2 linked regions of the Xenopus tropicalis genome follow. The protein of the gene in region 2 purifies or fractionates together with the protein of the main gene of each other region. This does not show direct contact. Links are inferred from orthologs where the notes say so. Each region holds a gene or a part of one and is shown on either strand. Other genes may lie near its edges.

What was found.
Region 1: the proteins of plasma membrane calcium-transporting ATPase 4 (region 2) and nptn purify together in Homo sapiens (co-immunoprecipitation; 3 studies listed by BioGRID and IntAct, with this or other methods). This does not show direct contact. The link is inferred for Xenopus tropicalis from reciprocal best matches to the Homo sapiens genes ATP2B4 and NPTN.

What each region holds. Positions count from the first base shown.
Region 1 is NC_030679.2:92,482,209-92,485,864, reverse strand, and holds part of nptn (neuroplastin precursor), read left to right. Parts: intron 1-2,866; coding exon 2,867-3,140; intron 3,141-3,656. UniProt on the Homo sapiens protein: Probable homophilic and heterophilic cell adhesion molecule involved in long term potentiation at hippocampal excitatory synapses through activation of p38MAPK. May also regulate neurite outgrowth by activating the FGFR1 signaling pathway.
Region 2 is NC_030678.2:70,269,459-70,273,114, forward strand, and holds part of plasma membrane calcium-transporting ATPase 4, read right to left. Parts: intron 3,597-3,656; coding exon 3,339-3,596; intron 3,205-3,338; coding exon 3,079-3,204; intron 2,380-3,078; coding exon 2,251-2,379; intron 1-2,250. UniProt on the Homo sapiens protein: Calcium/calmodulin-regulated and magnesium-dependent enzyme that catalyzes the hydrolysis of ATP coupled with the transport of calcium out of the cell. By regulating sperm cell calcium homeostasis, may play a role in sperm motility.

The DNA.
Region 1 (3,656 bases), on a different chromosome or scaffold from region 2:
GGGTCTGCTGTATAGTTACGCTACTGAAACTAAGTATATTCTCTTTGCATAACAATATGTTGTGTGCACTGGCACACGCAAAATTTGTGTGTGTGCATACGCACATACTAATTAGGTCAGTGTTGTATGCAGTCAGGTTTATCTCATAATATTCAGCTAGAAAGGTCCTGGCCAAAAGAAAATGAAGAAGGCATTGCTTTTGCAGAGGGCCCCTTTGGGAACTAAACCCACTTGTACCTTTTTCTCCCCCCAAATATTCCCAGTTTGTCATTGTCTTAAGACTTTAGTTTAGCATTGTCCATAATTAAATCAATTTTGTATTTGAATTTAAAAAAGAAGGCACAGTTAAGATTAAGTAAGCTTTATCAGAAAGGTCTATGTAAATATACCAATAAACACTCACAGTAATGCTGCTCTGAGTTTCAATAGAAACATGGCATTCCTTTACTTCAATTCTGTACACATCGACTTCTATATCAGACTTCTTTCTCTCACCTCCCGGGCATGGGCATGAACCTATGCAACTTGCTTCTCTCTCGCTCTCCCCCTCCTTATTCCCTCCTCCATGTAATCTGAGCCCAAAGTTACCAGTGAACAGGGAAAGATAACTGGCAGCAGGAGAAGGAAGTCACACAAAGCTAAACTATTGGGAGAAAACAGTGTCCGTAGCTTTCCTTCCCTTTTAACCAGATATTGTGTTGCTTGATTGATTTTTTTTTAAGGTCCTACTGATGGTAATCAGCTGTTTCTCCTACTGTAAAACTTCTTTGTGTCAGTTCCTGCCACCTTTGTAGTTGAAATTGCTATCTGCCCTGGCACAGGGGACACTAGTATGGACTTGGTTTCTCTAAGTAACTGCACTGCTTTGTAAATTAGCCCAGTATTTGAAACTAAGATCAACAGCAAACAGGGAAATTTGGGAGCATTTTATTGTTTCATGGGCGGGGGTAAAGTGATCACATTGGCCTCCATTCACTTTAATTAACAATTGTAACCAACCAATGCAGTTTAATTAAAGTGATTATCACTCAAAAGTGCTTAAAGGACATGTAAACCCCACACACAAAAATGTAATCGGTAAATAGCCTCTTTGAAATCTTTCAATACCTGCCACACTGGCTGTCCAGAGATTAATATTAAGGCTGCAACATGTCTCCTCCTCTAACCCACTCAGCCCCCTCCCTTGGGAATTTGCTTTGGCTGTTGGCTTGTGGGCATGCTCAGTTGTTCTAAGCTCAGATTACTAAACATGCCCCCAGTCTAGCAGCCAGTGAAGAGATGGCATTGCTGGTTCCCATAGAAACTCAGCTCTAGCTGTCTGCTTCAATTTTTTTCTCCCAGCCAACTCTGAGCTCAGCTCAAACAAAGCAGAACTTTTATCAGAGGCAGTTGTGCCTGTGTGAGCCTGTATTCTTGATGAAATGTATGCTGAATAAGGGTCTGTATGTGTGTATGCTGTTTGCAGATTTAAATGCATCCAATTATGTATCAGAGGAAAAATGGCCACCGGGTGAAAGCTGCTATTTGCTTTAGGAAAATGTGATGGTGCTAGCAAACGGAGGGGATATATGCAGTACAAATGATGCCATTTGGGTGGGTTAGACGTGCCCAACTGATATACATTGTAGGCAAATGTAGGCTTTACATGTCCTTTAAATGTGATGTAAACCCTGCTGCACCGCACTGCTCAGCTTTTCTCATTTGTTACTGGATTACAAATTCCAGAATAATGTTACATATTATGAAAGTGGTGGAATGCTGGGATCTGTAGTCCAGCAACAGCAGGGTTGTATTCTCAAAGCAATATTGCACAATTAAACTTCCTAAACTTTTCCTCAAATCTTCACTGCTTTAAAATGTGAAAAATCCTCCAATGAGAATCCCAGCTGATCTGTGTAAATCTAGCTCCCTGTTCTTTGTTCCTGCAATCTGCATTCTCACTTGTCAATTCTTTTTAATTTATAATAAAGTTATTAGTAGAATTTCCATTGGTGAATTTTCAAGCATCTATAATTTTTTTTTTGGTAACTTTTATAGCAAAACTAGGGGGTGCAGTGGAACAGCATCATGGCTGGGTTTACAACCCCTTTAAACATGCTTACTGCAACAAAATGCTGTGTGCAACTATCTTAAAGGAAAATAAAAAGGAATACCCCCAGAATAAATAACTTATACTTAACCAGATGGTTTGTCACATTAAGTGGCCTATTAAAGAATCTCGCCAAACTGGAATATATATCAGTAAATATTGCCCATTTAGATTGTTTACCTTGAGCCACAATTTAGTGATGGGCTGTGTGCTCCCTCGGAGTCACCTGGCTAGAAATAATGCAGCTCTAACTGTAACAGGAAGTAGTGAAGGAGCAAAAGACTTTGTCTATTCATTGGCTGATGTGGCCTTGCATGTATGTATGTGGGCCCTTGGTTTGTGTGTGTGCACTGTGAATCATATAATCCAGAGAGTGGTCCTTAGTACTAAAAATGGTAGTTTTCTATTTAGGATTTCCCAATGGCACAATCTACTAAAAAAAAAAATATATATATATATATATATATATATATATATATATATATAATTATTTTTTTTTAATTTTTTTTTATGAAAATAGTTTATTTAGATGAATAAGGGATTTACACCTGAGCTGCTTTATGCAATATTTTTTTTTTATAGAGACCTACATTGTTTGGGGATATCAAGAATCAGATCTATGTATGTATCCTTTCTTACAGTAATAATAAAACATTAGTATAGTCCATTTTCTGGTTGAATAGAATCCAGACATTTTCTTTTTGTTCATAGGCTTTTTGGCAGATGTATAGATTAGATATTGTTGATGGTGCTTATTTTTCTCCTATTATTTTACAGGAGGTCAACAATGCAAGTGGACGCATCTTTATTACCAACAAAGATAACAATACAGAGCTGAGAATCATTAACCTGGATATCAATAATGACCCTGGCACTTACCTTTGTAATGCCTCCAACACTGTTGGCTCAGACAACACCACCACCATCTTGCGTGTACGCAGTAATTTAGCACCTCTGTGGCCCTTCTTGGGTATTGTTGCAGAGATTGTTATCCTGGCTGTCGTTATTGTGGTGTATGAAAAGCGCAAGAGGCCGGACGAGGTGCCAGACGGTAAGAGTTGGGAAAAGGGATGTTTGTAATTGTAAATTATTAGCTTCTAAAACTGAAAAAATAAATTGGGATAAAGAGAGTGGTCCCCTGTTTAATTGAAAACATTTTTCTCATGTTATTTTTCTCCTGGCACAAAAATCTGGATATATTGTGCAAAATCCAGAGCATCACAAACCATTGTGAAGCCACTAGATTTTGAAGTAAGCTTGTGCATGGAGACCAACCTAAAAGGTTGCTGTTTGCCTTAAGATTTATTGCTTATGCAGGGGTAAAATTCATCAAATTAAAGATGTCTTGTAGGCAAAAATGTGTATTTTATTTAGTTTTTATGTATTTACATTCAGAATAGACATTTTGCGCTTCAGGAAAATGTAAACAAAAGCTGGCTAGATATTCATAAAGCATAATGTTAAGGCAGATAAATCCCTTGCAGATGTCTTTATTACACCAAAGAAAATGAAAAATACAGATCCTCACAAAAAAAACTGGGGAAGAAGTGATTCATAACTTTCAACA
Region 2 (3,656 bases):
CAGCTTGTTATCTACAAAAACCCCTAAATCCTTCTCCATTAACGATACCCCCAACAAACTACCATTCAGTAGATAGTTTGCGTTTATATTATTTCTACCAAAGTGCATAACTTTGCACTTATCAACATTGAACCTCATTTTCCAGTTTGCTGCCCAGTTTTCCAATATTTTCAAATCGCTCTGCAAAGTGGCAGCATCCTGCATGGAACTTATAGTTTTGCACAATTTAGTGTCATCAGCAAAAATAGAAACAATATTGTCTATGCCCACCTCCAGGTCATTAATAAACAAGTTAAAAAGCAAAGGACCAAGGACTGACCCCTGCGGTACTCTTCTAACCACACTGGTCCAATTAGAAAATGTTCTATTTACCACCACTCTTTGTAATCTATCCTTCAGCCAGTTCTATATCCAATTACAAATATTACGTTCTAGGCCAATATTCCTCAATTTGATCATCAACCTTCTGGGAGGTACTGTATAAAACACTTTAGCAAAGTCCAAGTAGATGACATCAACTGCCATTCCAGCATCGAGGTTCCTGCTCACCTCCTCATAAAAGGCGACTAAATTAGTCTGGCAAGATCTGTTACGCATAAAACCATGCTGGCACAAACTTATAGTATTGTGAACTGCACTGTATTAAAGTACCCTATCCCTTATTAGCAATTCGCCAGTCTCTCGGCACCATGCCAGACCTCAACGAATCCTGAAAAATTATGTGAAGAGGCTTGGCAATCACAGCGCTCAGCTCATTTAATACCCTGGGATGAATCCCATCCGGTCCTGGACCTTTGTTTACCTTTACATGTTCAAGTCTCTTTTGAATTTCCTCCTGAGTGACCCATGTGTCAGTAGCTAAATTACTAGAACTGGGCATATTAAAAGGGAAGCCTTCATTAGCTGGCTCCTCAGATGTATAGACAGATGAAAAATAAGGAGTTCAAAATTTCTGCTTTTTCCCCGTTCTCATCAACCAACTTACCCCCCTGTGATAATAAGGTTCCCACCCCTTCTTGCTTCATTTTTTTACCATTCACATAATTAAAAAATAATTTTGGATTCTTTTTACTCCTAGCTGCAATATCCCTTTCCATCTCTATTCTAGCTTGCCTGATAGCTTTTTTGCATGCTTTATTTGCTTCCTTGTACCTGATGAAAGTTTCGTCTGTCCCAGCTAACTTGAATGCTTTAAAAGCACGTTTTTTCTTACCAACCTCGACACTAACACTTTTATTCAGCCATAAAGGTTTTGCTTTGCGATGCCTCTCCTTCGTACAAGGGGAATATACTGTTGTGTATACCAGCAAAGCAATGTTTTAAAGATGTTCCATTTTCCTTCCGTGTCTAACCTAAGCCTTTCCCAGTTGACACATTGCAGAGATGCCCTTATACTGGCAAAGTCTGCACATCTAAAATCGAGCGTTTTAGTTACTCCCTTATAGAGCTGTCTCTGCAGCATTATCTCAAAGGAGACCATGTTGTGATCACTGTTCCCCAAATGCTCACCCACACAAATGTTAGAGATGAGTATGGATAGAAAAAGTCTGTGAATAGGACACAGTGAGTGTTAAAAAACTGTTGCAAAGCAAAGATGTGAGGACAGCGGAAGGTAAAAGGAATTTTTCCAAAAAAAATCTCCTAGAAAAATTAAGACAAGTTTGTAAGGATTTCCAATTGCAAGCAGGAGCTGATATAGGAAATACAGGATACAGGAACTGATATAGGAAAATTAAAACCAATATTTTCTTTCCAACCATGTCATCTAAAATACAATTGACAGTCACAAATTGCTAAATTAGTTATGTATACGTATGCACACCAGATCACAAAAGCAAAGAAGAAATATTTCTATTCTGTGTTTTAACTTACTTGAAGACTGCTGTAGTATGTAGACCTCTGCACATGTAAATATAGTCTGATACAAACCAGAATCATTTGTAAAGGGCTGACATAAACCCAGTTTTGTTTTATTTTTACAATATTTATTAATATATATTAAAACATTTTTGGAATTGTACATACATAATTTGTTTCATTTAAAGTGTCAGATCGAAGATTTTATACAACGATGTAAAAAAAAAGAAAACAAAAAAAATGTTACACAATCTCAATATCTGTTTTTTTTTTTTTTTTTTTACTTAGATTGTGAACTTACAATGAATCATGAGCAAATCCAAGTGAGTTACTCTTGTTCCTTGGTTGCTCATTATAAACCCAATTTTTAAATACTGTGCAAGGGATTATTACCTTTTTTGGATTTTTTTTCCTCTTCACCTCCCTCATTTGCACCTAGCAAAGTGAATATTATGCCAGTTTGAGAGTTGACACCTACTGCTGTGACTACCATACGTCCAGACCCTTCCATTACGTGTGTTCCTGTGGGCAAACAAGGCAGAAGCTATTACTAACATCATGGAGCTAATTTATATATCTATTTATTTTAAATATTTGAGGGTTATAAAAATTGCAATAATCTAAAACTTCCTGATATGCCCAGAATTTGCATTCAATTCTAAACCCCACAGTACCTGTGGCATACCATTGCAAGTCTGGTGAAGGATTCCATTTTGTGCCATTTAGTAACCCTATAGCTATAGGGCTTAATGTAGTTTGGCTGCAAGTCTAAAATGTGCACTTTTAAACATATTTGTGGGGATGTAGGTACAATATTTGCACATACAAACATTTAATTTACAACTGTGCATTCATCTTTGACGGTATGTTCCCTTTTACTCATAACATATTTGATGCGACTGCATCAGTGATCAGGGTCTGACTGGGCCGGCGGGACACCAGGAAAAAACCTGCAGCAGGTGGGGTGGGTGGAAGAGGCGTACTTGCAAATACCAACTGGGACGGGGGGCCCTAGACACCTTAGTCCGACAATGTCAGTGAATAGCCAAAAAATGTGCCAGATTATGAACCGATTTGCTACTTGTGTGGATTCATCAAGCAACAGAGAACTGCAAGGGCCACCATACAATTTAAAAAAAAAAAAAAAATACAACCAAAATCACCAAATTTAGACAGCACTTCTATTTAGAATTAACCCCACAGGTATAGAAACAATTTTACCTGACAAAAGCATGGGGTCTTTCTCTAATGATTTTTTCACCTGATCGCTCTCCCCAGTTAGAGAGCTTTCATCAATTTTTAAGTCATTGCCTTGAATCAATATCCCATCAGCAGGAAGGAGGTCACCTGTATAACAAACAAATACATCAGATTATACATCAGATCATAAAACAGGTTTACAGTGGAATGCTGGGAAAATAACAATACTGTTATTGTATTTCTAAACAGTGATAGTCTATAAAAACTCTTCCTATACATACCATATTTTATTTGTGCAATATCACCGACTACTAGCTCTGCTACAGGGATTTGGATAACCTGTCCTTTGCGGATAACAGTGAATTTCTGCTCCTGCTCAATTCGGCTCTGTAGGCCTCGAAATTGCTTCTCTTTGCTCCAGTCATTGAAGGCGGTAACAAGCACAACTATGATGACCGAGAATAAGATGGCTGCCCCTTCAATCCATCCAGCTTGAGCCTCACCTTCATCCTCCACTCCTGCAGCAGCTTCCCCACATACTGCAAAAAGGAAAGTAGGAAGAATTGAGATTCTAACAGTACTATCATCTCTAAATGCAT